Styela clava: one gene and its partner. The protein of the gene in region 2 interacts with the protein of the main gene of each other region in a pairwise test. Links are inferred from orthologs where the notes say so. Each region holds a gene or a part of one and is shown on either strand. Other genes may lie near its edges.

Region 1 (7,491 bases), on a different chromosome or scaffold from region 2:
AATTCATTAAATTCTGCTTATAATCCATATGACTATATCTTTAATTTAAAATAAGAAAATCAACCCCCTCTTGACCGGAAACACATGCTGCTGGGCTTTGAAAATCACCAAATTCGCCATATATGAGTTATGTCAATTTTGCGGCAGATTATCAAAAGTCAATCGGAAAATTCACATAATTCCAAGTTTTTGTTGGAATTCATTAAACTTTGCTTACAATTTGTATGACTTTATCTTTAATTTAAAATAATAAAATCAACCCCCTCTTGACCGGAAACACATGCTGCTGGGTTTTGAAAATCACCAAAATCGCCATATATGAGTTACGTCAATTTTACGTCAGATTTTCAAAAGTCAATCGGAAAATTCACATAATTCAAAGTTTTTGTTGAAATTCATTAAACTTTGCTTACAATCTGTATGCCTATATCTTTAAGTTAAAATAATAAAATCAACCCCCTCTTGACCGGAACCACATGCTGCTGGGTTTTGAAAATCGCCATATATAAGTTATGTAAATTTTGCGTCAGATTATCAAAAGTCAATCGAAAAATTCACATAATTCCAAGTTTTTGTTGAAATTCATTAAACTTTGCTTACAATTTGTATGACTTTATCTTTAATTTAAAATAATAAAATCAACCCCCTCTTGACCGGAAACACATGCTGCTGGGTTTTGAAAATCACTAAAATCGCCATATATGAGTTATGTAAATTTTGCGTCAGATTATCAAAAGTCAATCGGAAAATTCACATAATTCCAAGTTTTTGTTGAAATTCATTAAACTTTGCTTACAATTTGTTTGACTATATCTTTAATTCAAAATAAGAAAATCAACCCCCTCTTGACCGGAAACACATGCTGCTGGGCTTTGAAAATCACTAAAATCGCCATATATGAGTTATGTCAATTTTGCGGCAGATTATCAAAAGTCAATCGGAAAATTCACATAATTCCAAGTTTTTGTTGGAATTCATTAAACTTTGCTTACAATTTGTATGACTTTATCTTTAATTTAAAATAATAAAATCAATCCCCTCTTGACCTGAAACACATGCTGCTGGGCTTTGAAAATCACCAAAATCGCCATATATGAGTTACGTCAATTTTGCGTCAGATTATCGAAATTCAATCGAAAAATTCAAAAATTTATAAGTTTTTGTTGAAATTCATTAAACTTTGCTTATAATCTATATGACTATATCTTTAATTTAAAATAATAAAATCAACCCCCTCTTGACCGGAACCACATGCTGCTGGGCTTTGAAAAACACCAAAATCGCCATAAATATTGACATAATTTTGAGTTTCTGATAGAAATTCATTTGCTTCTGCTTACAATTTTTATGATTATATTTTTCATTCGAAATTTTAAAACCGTCCCTCCTCCGTTTTCTTTGCTTTCTTCAATCCGGCATTTCCTTTTTTATGCTTGTTTACCATATTTTAACAAGACAAATCATTGGGAACATTAAATTTTACGCGTGGGTATTTTCTGCGATTCTGTCAGTCTTAATTTCGTTTTTTGCTGCTAGCTTCCCAGAGGTTTAATGTTCCCTATTTGAAGAAAGACGCCAGTGGATAATATGATACTGTACTTTAAACATTCTAATATTATATTGCCAGGAAAACAGCTTAGTGTTAGCTTGTGAAGAGGGTAGGCTGATAGTATGAGATAACTGAATAACAATTCTGGTGACTCCGTTGTAGGCCTACAGTGAAAAAAAATCACAATTGTTGGTCGCCTTTCATGAACATTGAATACCCAATTGTAATGAAATAATCTCGGGAGAAATAAAATAAACTATATATGAATAAACAAATAATCATTTGTACCACAAAACTGCGCGAAGCGTTTTGATATTTGAGCGTTATTATGTTCAAAGCGAACATACTCTCGAATGTTACTTTACCAAAGTGTACCATTATGTGCGTTTAGATTCTGTTGTGAATCACAACAAGCATTGTGATCTGTTAAACGTGAGGCCCAACGTCATTGAATATTTCCCGATATAGTATTTTGAATATTTCGACAAGAACTTCGTTGGTCATTTTACGTGTATGTAAAGTAAACAGTGCCGAAGCGAATCACACCTGTTGATCTGTGTTTTGTTATACTGAATGTTGATGCGGAATTAGCGAACAAGTGACTCCTGGTTTGTCATATGACGTCTTGATAATGCAAATGCAGTAGACCCGTCAATAAGTGTTTTTGTGCCTAAAATACCCCCGATTTTGTTCTCCAGATTAGCAGCGTTATTCAAACAAAAGAGCTACGCACAAATATATGGACACGTTAGACCAGAGCGAATCAGTCTTTACCGGTACCTTTGACGCTACCGGTACCCTCAAAAAAGTTCTGAATTTCCAGTAGCAAGAATTTTGCAGAATCAAAACGTACAGCCAGTCATGACACTGACTAAAATCCGTGTTCCCATGGATAAAAAATAATACAGCAAAATTTTAGACGAAATATCAAATTTCATAGAATTCACGCAAAATTTTGAAATAAATAAAAGTAATAGCCTTCTAGCGAAGAAATTATTCTTTAACCACTGAAAATTTCAAAGCAATTGGTCCAGTATTCGAAGAGAAAAGCGATTTTTTAAAAACGTGTCAAAGAACAACAACAACATAATATTGAAACGATCGTTATGGCCACTAAACGTGTCCAATAAGAGATATCAGCCAGGTGAATGATTACCGTTATTATTGAATATAAAATTTATTACATTATTAGGATATATTCACGATTTAACAAAAAATTGCAAAAGCACTTTCACACAGGTATGTCGTAAAGGCTTCGATGCAAACATTCACTGATTTACTTCTACTACTACTTGGCTACATCTCACGGCAATGTACCAGACAGAAGTGCATTTCTCGAGAAAAAACCGATACCAGAATACCGGGTCACGTGACATTACATGCTGTTTTATTTCTATTCACTTCTATGCTTTGCCTGTTATTGCAGTATTACACAGTTTAATTACAATCGGTTGAGTTAACTGGCCTTTAAGTTTAAGGTTTTGGAAACTATTAATGTTAGTTGTTTGAAACTGGTGAGGATTGAAGAGAGAATGAAGTAAGACGATATTTTATCCCAACAATTACTGAATTAATTCATGTAATGCAGTAATGATACGGTACCGGTACCCGTGCCGCTACGGTACGGTACCGGTAATTACTGAATTAATTCTGTAATTCGGTAGATTACCTGTGCTGTAATTCAGGCAGTCGCGCAACAAACATTTACAGTACCTGTACGTCATTGAACTTGGGTCATGTAATATGGTACATTACCGTAATACAGTACTGCAGTAAGGCCAGAAGGCGGTGTAGCTCATCGTGCTAAGCGTTAGGAATACGGTACGCTCGCTACGCACCTCTAATTACTCTGCGTGTGTTCGCAGGTTTGAATCCCATGCTTCATGGTTATGTGCGAGAGGATTGCAGGACTCCTTGCCACCGTTGGGTGGTTCACCTAACCGCTAGTCGGTTACGGCTTCCTCGACCATCAAGTCCATGCTTCGGAAAAACAAATACCTAACTAATCCCATACCGGTACTCGACATGGAATGGTAACCGGACGAGAGGACGTGGTTCGCTTCGCTATATGGTTAAGCCGTCAAATCGGCTTTCCTCTCCTCCAGGATAAATATGTAAATCTTATCCTTATCCTTAATATGCATGGATACTGTATCATTTTTAGGTAAGAAAATCCCTTTGATCTGTAGATATTTTTTAATAAGTTTGTTCAAAGCAAGGTCTGTAGTCTACAGTAGGACTGTAGGATGAGAACTGCTTTGAGCTTCTAAAAGTAGTTTTCCTAGAAAAACTTGTACTCAGTACCGGTACGGTACTAGACTATTGCGAATTACTTAAATTAGTTCGGCACAGTTCTCTGAATATTGGATTACAAGAATAGCCTCCATACTACAGTACACCACACTATACAGATCGAGCGACATTGTCTCGTTTCATAGAGACCCATTTTACTGATCATTAGACACCCCTTCGGCTTCTCTGGGGGACGTCTGCACATGGTTCGATAGTTGTCCCCCAATATCAGTTAAAATATAGTAAATTGAATTTGAGCAAAAAACCACAAGGAAGGGCAATCTAAAAATGTCATCATTGAATTCCTCGGGGAAAAAATATTCCCATTTACCGATGGAAAAAATATCTACCGTGGCATTCGAGAGTTTTGAGCAAAAAACGGCAATTTTGGTCATGTGACGGCTGGGATTAATTTAGATCATTATCGAGACAAGCATGACGCATCTGCTGCGTGCCAGACACCTTTGGTTTGTGAGACACATGGAGTGTTTGTTTTATTGAACCAAATGAGGGACATTCTTAGAATTTGGAAAGATATCAATTATAAGATTTAGTGTGAACCCCTCCTTTACGAGACAGTCCGGGTCTCCAACTGGCACTGCACAATAAACTAAAATGAAGCGCAATCTACAAAACGCACCATTGATTACCAACTGATATTTTTTAGGATAGCATCAAATAATATAACTTTGAAAACTAGTTTACTATGTCCGAAAAGAAAGCTGATATTAAAAGCTCTGGTGAACCGGCAAAACCAGAAGCAACCAAAGAGCAAGAGAAAGGTGATTCAAAAGAAGTTACTGTAGAAGATGAAACTGCTATCAAACACCCACTGCAAAGCAGGTATGTTGTGCTGCTTATACAATTCAGGAAATCAAATGATATATTTTGTCCTAATTTTTATGCACAATTTGTATGCGTACTTATTGAATATAGACTACAATGACTTTTTTGTGCTTTCATGGCATGATTAGAAAATATTCGAAAGTCTGAAGAATTTTAAAATTTGTTTGGAATAGTGAATTACATTTTTAGTCACCATTATGTTAAGTGTACGAAATTTCCAATACAATGATCTTTGATCAAGTATACATTTGTAATGATTCTGTTTTTTTAGATGGGCACTCTGGTTTTTCAAAAATGATAGAAGCAAAAAATGGGAAGATAATTTAAGATTAGTAACTAAATTTGACACTGTAGAAGATTTTTGGGCGTAAGTATTGTTTTATTACATTTTCTAGCCAAGACTTTTTCTGTGATAAGAATTCCTACTCAGCGTTACTTTATTGATATTTGGTGAATATAGAATTTTATGGATACAAAAACAAAGCTTTATAATGAAATATTTGAATCAAGAGACTTCAAAAATAAATTTGAGTATGTGAATAATCTTTACTTGGTATATTTTCATTAAGTGTTTATCCTTTATCCGGTAAGATTATTTATTCAAAATAGTTTTTTTCTGTCTCAAATATCAATTGGCAATGTCTCTCTTTGATATTTCCTTCTTTATTTCATTGATGCACTAACTTGTGTAGTTTTTCTCATTTAAAGACATATTCATGAGGATCAAAACCTCATGTAAAGACATACTAATAAACATAAAAGAATCTTAATTCGCTGCTGTACTACATGCAAGCTGATGTAAAAGTACACAAAGTGTGTATAGCTCTAGTAATTCTTGCCTTCTTCTGTAGGCTTATAGCTGGAGCAAGAATTGTCATTCTGTATTAAATAATTTATGGGACAACTCAGTATTGGCGATTCCCCCATGAAAATACAAAACAAAATGGTTATAATATTTGTTATCAGTTGTTTTATACCACAAATGTTTTCTATTTTCAGAATCTATAATCATATTCAACTTTCTAGTAAGCTGCAAAGTGGCTGCGACTATTGTCTATTCAAGGTATGGTTATTGTCATACTACTGATATCATTTTGATATCTATATATCTGCTCAGTAATCCTGCTGTGACTCTTTTGTAACGTTGAGAACATTTTTAAACATTGAACCTATTACAAGGCTCTTGGGGGTTGTGGTTTAACTGAATGCTTACTGAAAATGTTCATTTATCATTGCTCATAGTCTAATTCTAAATGTGTGGGCGACTTTAGTTATGTGTTGGTTGGTTTTGGTTAATGCTTGACTAACTTCCCTTGTTAGTTGTTAATGTTAAAGTTTGAAGTTATCTCAACCTTTGTTTTATGTTGTTATTACTTGCAGTACTTTTAGTTCAACTGCGGGTTCCTGCAGGAATGCTATGTTTTTTTTCGGTACTCCCATAGTGTGTGTACCAGGTTTAGGCCATAATTTTATTCCAATTTTCCTTATTTTAGCTCTATCTATTATGAGTTCGGGGAATGTGTGTGTTAGCCAAGTGATTATACCCCCCCAGTCCATAGCTGTCAGTCCCTTTAACAACTTGATGTAAAATAGGTGAACAAAATTAGATACCTCCATATTGGTTCACACACTTTTGGGGCGCCTTTTTTTTTTCAATGTTTCCAGCTTTCAAATTGTGCAGCATATTACTATTATTATAATGTACAGCATTATAGCGTTTTTGACATTGGATCTACCTATTGGTATCTCAGGTTGAATATCTCTGGCCCTCCAGCATATCAGGGCGTAAGAGAGTGTGTAATGCCCTGTCCAGTGTTTCGAAAGCATAGTGCTAATTTGTCTAACACAGATGTGAAGTGCAAAAAGTCAGAATATAAATCAAATAAGTAATTCTTTCTCTTGATAGCCTGAATTTCTAAAATGAATTTTTATCACAATAATTTCATGAAGTTGTTTGTAATTTTTCCTAATCTCTACAATATGTGCACTGTATGCAGGATGGGGTGCAGCCTATGTGGGAAGATGAAGCAAATAAAAATGGTGGACGATGGTTGTTTCAGTTGAACAAAACACAGAGATATCAAGAATTAGATAGAATGTGGCTTGAAACTGTAAGTTTGGCTTGTAAATATAGTATAATAAGTTGTAAATCCTATTGTCATTTACGATTTTTTATCTGGGGTTTTTGTATGGGTGGTTAGAACTGGAGCTGGGACTATCAGAAATTTCAGTGTACAGCTCCTAACCATATACCGTAATTATTCTCCAGATTTCTAATTCCCAATATAAATTAATATAAAATCTATCCTATATAAATTTTTGATATTTTATGTTACAAACCTTGCTTGGACTGGTAACCGGATGAAAAGCTGTGGTTCACTATATGATATGCTGTATTGTCATCTTTTCTCTATATTTTTATAGACATGATAATCCTCAACTATCCTACCGCAAAATTTAACATATTGCTTTTGCTTTTGAAAGACATTTTGTGGTCCTGGTTTTTTAAGCACATTTCATTAATAATAGAAAGTTTTTGATATACTCATAATAATGATGTGATAAATTATCTTTTTCTCAAGATCCTCTGTATGATTGGAGAATCTTTTGAAGCAGAATCAGATTTTGTTAATGGTGCAGTAGTTCAAGTCAGAAACAAGGGAGACAAGATTGCTGTATGGACATCAGATTGCCATAGACGTGATGTGATTCTTAAAATAGGGTATGTGGCTTTAGTTTTCTCAAAGTTTTGAAGTGTTTTCTGTTGTTCGTTTTTGATATTGTTGTGTGAAAACAGAAATAAA
Region 2 (7,117 bases):
TACCTATTGGTTTCTTGAGATTTGGGACAAAAGGAAAAAGGTATATTTTCTGCACAGCTTGATCAAAGAGTTGCAAGGAAAGTCTTTTTATATACAGTATAGATGAACTAATATTATAACTAAATTTTTACTTATCCAAAAGATCTTACCATTGCTTTCAAGTCTGAGAATATCATCTCTTAAGTTGGTTCCTCCAGTTGTGGCCATCACATTTAAATTTCCCATGTGCCTGCTCATTTCAATGGCAATTTGTGATGTTTGCAATGCCAGTTCACGTGTTGGCACCAAAACCATGGCTAGTATAACATAAAAGAAAGCTTTGTCATTTGTAAACAAAAAATGACCAATACCTAAGTAAACCAAGTATGTTAAATATTGAATTGTAATGGCCTATAGATGAGAACATAATACTGCTATTGTTTTATCAGTATCAAAAATATAGAGATCAACTTTTTGAGCAATGCATTTAATCGAAATATGAACAAGCTTTAAGAATGTCAATTACAGATATTACTGCACATACAGCAGCAAACCATTCGACACTAGTAAATAGTAAAATAAAATTAATAAAATCAAAATAAATATGAAACCATAATACTATTGTTGCATGTATATTCCAGTCAAGAGTACAACCTATCTTGTTATCAATCAGCAAGAGTACATCATTATCTACAACCAAAATTTCAGTTTTTCAAGAGCGAATGGAACAAATGAAACTACAAATACTGTTTTATGTTATAGTTTAAACTAATTTAGGCTATCATTAGATTATATCCTGTTTACAAATATACATTGCAATATAAATTATGTGTTACCTTGAACATAATCTTTAGACATATCACATTTTTCCAACAAAGGAATCAGATAGGCACCAGATTTTCCAGTGCCATTTTTAGCTCTTGCTAAAATATCTCGACCTGGAATGACAGTGAATACACAAATAAAGACATTCTGACTTGATATATTCATTGGAACCAATTTGAACAGATTACTAATAAGACAAATGAAGTTAGTAAATTTAGCACAAAAAAAATATACTGGTACATATAAATATATACGGTAGATCTTTACGAGCCAATTCTAAAACATTTCATACTGTTACACAGTATAACCTGTCATATTTTAGTCATTTCCTTATCACTCTGTTACTGGGCTCTAATATTATAATTTCAAGTTTTAATTAATTTGAATATATATTTTAGGTATGTATCTTATACTATATCAACTAACAACATACAACAATGTTATAGATGCCGAAAAATAGGTTTATCCTTCACATGAAATTTATTATCACTCAAAGTGTAAAGCAATTTCTTAAGAGATAAAAAAGTAGAAACCACAGAGTTAGATAAAAATTCTATTAAGATTATTTATTCTAATATCTCACCAGATAATGCGATAGGAATGCTTTCTTCCTGAATGGGTGAAGGTTTCTCCCAGCCTTTTTCAAAAATACCCATCAATAATTCTCGCTGGAGACAGAAGTCTTCAAATTCATTTCCTTTAGTCGCTGTAACGTCCTGGCATATAAAGTAAAGTAATGAGAACTTCGCAATGGCAATCATGTAAAAGTCTCTCAAGAAACATTCTTCTTTCGATTAAATGTAAACAGGTAAAATACTTGTCGAATGTGTAATCATCAATTGTTAGTGCACTTACAGTAGTTTTCTTTCTTCTGTCTTTTGGTGGCAAATGTAAATTTGATTTCCAATCTTCTCCTTCCCTAATGTAAATAAATAAGCAAGTTTGGAAACAAATGAATGACAATCCGTTAACCAATATAACTAGCAAATGTTATCAGGCCAAAGCTTGCATTCATAAGCATTTCAACATTATTCTGCAGGTAGCCATGTCTAGTTATGTGCATTGTATGACAAGTTTTTGGCCTATAGTCTTTCAATATGAAATCCCAAAATAATACATTTCCATTTTTAATCCTGTCGAATAATCAATTTTTTTCGATATTTTTGGTATCAGTTTCTGACAAAGGTATGTATAAATTTACCCATTCCAATTACAAAATTAGATGTAAAGGAATACATATGAAATGAATTGAATATTAGAATAAATTTGATTTTAAGAACACCGAAGAATGTCTTCCATTTTAAGTACTGAAATCATACAAGATAATAAGCCTATGTTTTTTTCTTGAACAAACAAAAAAAAATTGTAAAACAGACACCTTCTTTGGATTCCTGCGCACTATTTTTGCTAAATCACGATCTAATTTCGAATGAATTCAAAGTACAGGGTGAAAAATTTTGAATTTTTTTGAGAATGTTAATGTAACATAACATTAGATTTTAAATATTTAGAGACGATTCCGGCATAAAATCATTCAATAGTATGCTTTGTTCAATCATAATAATAATTTTGTTTATAGTGTATTCTTTGTGACTTCGCTTTAAGCTGATATTTATCAAAACAAATATGGATATATATATTTATCCATTTATTAACTGAATTAGTCAATGATTGTCAACTGCAACTGCATACATACTATCAACCACAGACTACTGTCCAAGGCAATAAGCAAGTAGCGATATAGAATCAAACCTATTTCCTGAAAAACAAAGTTGAAAAAATCCTGCTTACCCAACTTTGCCAGATTGAGGGTGAGAGTTAGCAACAGGCTTATTGTTCTGTTGACGAGAACCTTGAACTGAGTTTGCAGAAGGTTGTCTGCTTGGTCCATTACCAGCAGAATATTTGTGCCCTGATGAGGGCATATGCTGATTAGTTGGTGGCATAACGTTCGCCATTATTCAAATCTGTTCCACAGGGGCGATAAATTTGTAGAAAATTACCAGCATTCAATGCGCAAATTCCCTGAGATCACCACCACAGAAATTGTTAAGTCAATGTAGAACTTATGTTCTGTTAGAAAGTCACAAAAAACTCAAGATGTACAACTGTTTCCTCTGAAGTGCACTGTGCAGAAATTCAAAAATTTCTTTAAATAACTGCTTAATTATGATTCATTCCATAATATGCTATAAAATTTCATAAATAAATAAGATAAAATACAGATGAATATCAGTATCAGTATTGAATGGTATGAATCTCTATCACTAAGATAAGCAAGTATTTCTGAGGGTTATTATAAGCAACAGTGTGGTTAATAAATAATATACTGCATTTCAGTACAAGATAAAATTATGATCATAACAAGAGTAAGTGCTAAAGTGGGCATGCACGGATTGCCTGTCAATATATTTTCATCTGGCTATCAGTATCAGCTATGAATTAGATATATTCTTACAGGTAATATTGAAATATCATGCTCAGAAAATATGAGTGTCATATCATTTTTCATTAAAGTGCGAATATCTAAATAGCAAACCATATTTGATTACGGTACATGCATTGAGGGGCGGTCAGTGGTTAATCTGTGTTGATGTTCAAAGGCAAGGTTTGGCAGCAACTGACACAAAAGAAAATTATGAAAAACTGATGGACCCACTTCAGTTATTGTATAGATAAGAGCTTAGCAAACTATATTCCCAACTTGTACTACAATGGTGCATCTTTGAACTTGTGACACTAATATCAGTGCTTGAAAAATTGGGATGTCTTCTGGAATGCAGTTTCCTTATTCATTTTTATGATGCAATAAACATTCTTTGCTAAGTATCAAAATCTAATGGTTAGACATGTTAGCCTGAAATGGTCACTGACCACAGATATGGTTATTATGCTTGCACACCTTACTTTCATTTAATGATAATTGTTACCATTGAGCTAACAGCACCACGATGCTATTTTGTTTGATAGACATATGTTGCTTGACACATACTGATTCACCAGTGATCTGTTTTCTATAGTGTGGTGCCAAAGTGAAAGATCGGATTCAGCATTTATTATTACACTAGTTTGTTAGTTTTCGGGTAAAATTTAATGGTAATAGGCAATTGCACATGCTAGGTTGAAAATGCTAAATGATAAAATATGACAGAATTCATCTTGCATTCATTCAATCAAATATTGAAATGTTGTAATTGTAAGTTTACATTTTTCAGTTAAGCATTTTAAATAACAATAACATTAAATCAGAATGTGTCGCCAAAATATATCACCTACATGGGAAGTTTGGAAAGCACTACTATAGATGTTATCAAAAGCTCCATTATGCTTTCATTTTTCACTTGCCAATATAATCTTCTATTCTTTCTTCATAGACAAAAGCAATGGGGTGTAGCAACTTGTTCAAAAGGAAGTTAAACTCGCTATTAATGAGCTAAATCAATTTCATCTCAGCTTAATAAACGTTGAATTGGTACCGAACTACAGCCGTAACGGCAGGCTGCACTTACTAAATAAAAGCAATTACGGCGATTCACCCCATAGCAGGGCTACTCAACTATTTTCACCAAAGGGTCGTACACAAAACATATAAATTACAGTGGTCCGGCCATTCTAAAAATTTTATTTTAACTCTGCAAACAAAACTCCAAGTGCATCATTTAACAAATACAAGATCAATGCTAAATATCACGCATTGGTAATGGTATGACAAGGCTTTACTAGTCTGGCTCTCTAGCTGGCCGCTGACTTTGTTTAATAAATAGGAAATATTTGGCGATAACACTTATTATACTGCTGAAGCCAATGGGGATAAATACCCACAATACGATTTCATTTCGATCTTTTGTCTACAAAACAGAACATGAATAAAATAAAATACACAGAAAATGGCGACGAAAAGATCGGGAAAATGGGCAAAATCTAGAGAAAGGTTTATAACAGGTGCTGTAACCAGCGTTTGTGCCCATGTACCCATTCACCCACCCTCTTAAAATCAAAGCTACAGAGAACTATCCAAATTACAGAACTAGAGCCACAAAATGCTGAAATAGCTTACCAAAGACAAAAAGAGAATTACCCAAGACAGGCTACAAGTAGCAAAAAATAGCAATGATATTTCAATGTGATATCAAGAAAAAGACTTTTATTCTTACAAGTATTAGGAAAGGACAAACACACTGTTAGTTCTTAATCTGGATTTTGAGTTTTTCCCTTACGAATATCGATCCATTGTTGTGTTTTGTAGAACACCAAATGTGTTATTCCCGGTGACTCTATGGAACAATTTTGCATGTTGTGATTTGCAATATATTTTTACATTGCCAGCTACATGTTTTGTGTCATTGCCCAATCAGTTGAGTTATGGGGTTTAAACAAAACTGCACCAAAGTTACATAAAAGACTCATTAAAAACACAGTAAAAATATAGCGTGGCACTACGGGACGACAGGTCCACCACGCAATAACGTTTCATTGTGTTGTAAATTGTCGCGATGGTACAGCATGAGCCCTCAATATTTTCTGGCGCAGTAACTGAATGACCCCGCTATGACACACTTAAGTTAACTACTCAATGTAACACTGTAGATCTACAATGATGATGTGCACATTATATGTGACACTACAGGGCATTTTTCCACCTTGGAACAGCGGCCTCTATCATCTCTTAAAATTCAGGTTATAAGATAAGATTAGGATTTACATATTTATCTCGGGGAGAGGAAAGCCGATAAGACGGCTTATCCATATGACGAACCACGGCCTCTCGTCCGGTTACCATTCCAAGTCGGGTATGGGATTAGTTATATTGTTTGTTTTCGGAAGCATGGACTTGGTGGTGGGGGAAGCCGTAACCGACCAGCAGTTACGTGAACCACCCAACGACGGCGAGGAGTCCAGCAATCCTCTCGCACATAACCATCCCTGCATGGGATTCGAACCTGCGAACCCACGCAGAGTAATTAGAGGTGCGGTGGCGAGTTCAGCCCGTTGAGCCACACCGCCGCGCCGATAAATCGTTAAATAGGTAAAAACATGTCCTACGGCACTGCAAACACTTAATCTTTATTAACATAAGTCCAGTGCATCTATTCGAAATAACTGTACCAGACAAACAAACACTTCGTGTTACAAGTCATCACAAAACATGTCAATTTTATCAAAATTTCTACATTTCAGGCCCCTTTGTGTAAATGATTAAAAACCTGGGTAAAATTTTAAATTTTCCAGTGAACTGAATGCAGTCCAATAAAATACAAGTGTTATTTGATATAAAAAATACAAAACAATTACTTTCACTGCACTTTTGAACAAATTTGCTTGTAATAGCCCAAATAAAAATTTTCAGATTTTATGGAAACTTTTCGAATAACTACTATCCTTGATCAGTTTTGACATCAAAAAAATAGCAATGGCTTAATGGCTCACAGTGGAACAAATGCCTAACAAATCCAAATCCAGGGCTAAAAAAACAAAATTAAAAGATTTTTCCACCGAAATATAAATAAGAATCATCTAAGACAGGCAGTTTGTAGCTAGAAATAGTAATGCCATTCTAATATGGTGTATTAAGTTTTCTTAGATGGGCACATACCCTAACATAAGTTACCCTATTATCGTCACACACCAATGTTCACCACGCGCCTTCAGGCTGTCAGGACCATCCCACTTTCAGATAGCGCTAATATGAGTTGTTTTCAGATTGCGATGTCATGAGTGATAACTATTGAACTTATTCTGTCACTCGGTGGCATAAGGGCATTTTCATTCAAAGTTAAAAACGATTCTCATAGGGCTCAGAAAAATGTTTGAAAAAAATTAAAAGTAATAGCCTTCCAGCGGCAACAACTCTATTACGAGACAGCCTCCATATCGACTCAAAGCGGCAAATTGGCACTGCGTAATGAACTAAAATAAAGTGCAAACTACAAACGTCACCATTGGATTACACTGAAATTTTTTTAGCTTAAAAACACAATTTAGCTTAAAAACAAAATTTTTAACTATACCGAGGCCTGGCGCAATCTGACGCAAATGTCATCATGCCAGATGCCCTCGTTTCAGAGACAAATAGAGTGTTTGTTTTATTGAACCAAATGTATGGACATCTTGGAATTTTAAGAACTGTGGGGTTTCAGAGTTTGCACTGTTAATGAATGTTCCCCCGAGCATCAACCTCTCTGTCTATTATGATGACAATGACCAAATCAGCAAAAAGCTGAGAATTATCAATTGAAACTATACAGCTATGGCCTCACTCAGACTAACAAACATTCAGATATTGGCTGGTTTTATGCGGTCTTACTACTTACTG

What was found. The genes of interacting proteins can lie anywhere in the genome.
Region 1: the proteins of putative ATP-dependent RNA helicase DDX6 (region 2) and eukaryotic translation initiation factor 4E-like interact in binary tests that used the Drosophila melanogaster proteins (3 or more experiments, as listed by UniProt). The link is inferred for Styela clava from reciprocal best matches to the Drosophila melanogaster genes me31B and eIF4E1.

What each region holds. Positions count from the first base shown.
Region 1 is NC_135260.1:20,083,952-20,091,442, reverse strand, and holds the start of eukaryotic translation initiation factor 4E-like, read left to right. Parts: upstream 1-4,488; 5' UTR 4,489-4,547; coding exon 4,548-4,684; intron 4,685-4,958; coding exon 4,959-5,054; intron 5,055-5,686; coding exon 5,687-5,750; intron 5,751-6,684; coding exon 6,685-6,798; intron 6,799-7,269; coding exon 7,270-7,409; intron 7,410-7,491. UniProt on the Drosophila melanogaster protein: Recognizes and binds the 7-methylguanosine (m7G)-containing mRNA cap during an early step in the initiation of protein synthesis and facilitates ribosome binding by inducing the unwinding of the mRNAs secondary structures.
Region 2 is NC_135253.1:749,730-756,846, reverse strand, and holds the start of putative ATP-dependent RNA helicase DDX6, read right to left. Parts: upstream 3,016-7,117; 5' UTR 2,763-3,015; coding exon 2,596-2,762; intron 1,724-2,595; coding exon 1,660-1,723; intron 1,521-1,659; coding exon 1,388-1,520; intron 918-1,387; coding exon 816-917; intron 297-815; coding exon 150-296; intron 1-149. UniProt on the Drosophila melanogaster protein: ATP-dependent RNA helicase which is a core component of a variety of ribonucleoprotein complexes (RNPs) that play critical roles in translational repression and mRNA decapping during embryogenesis, oogenesis, neurogenesis and neurotransmission.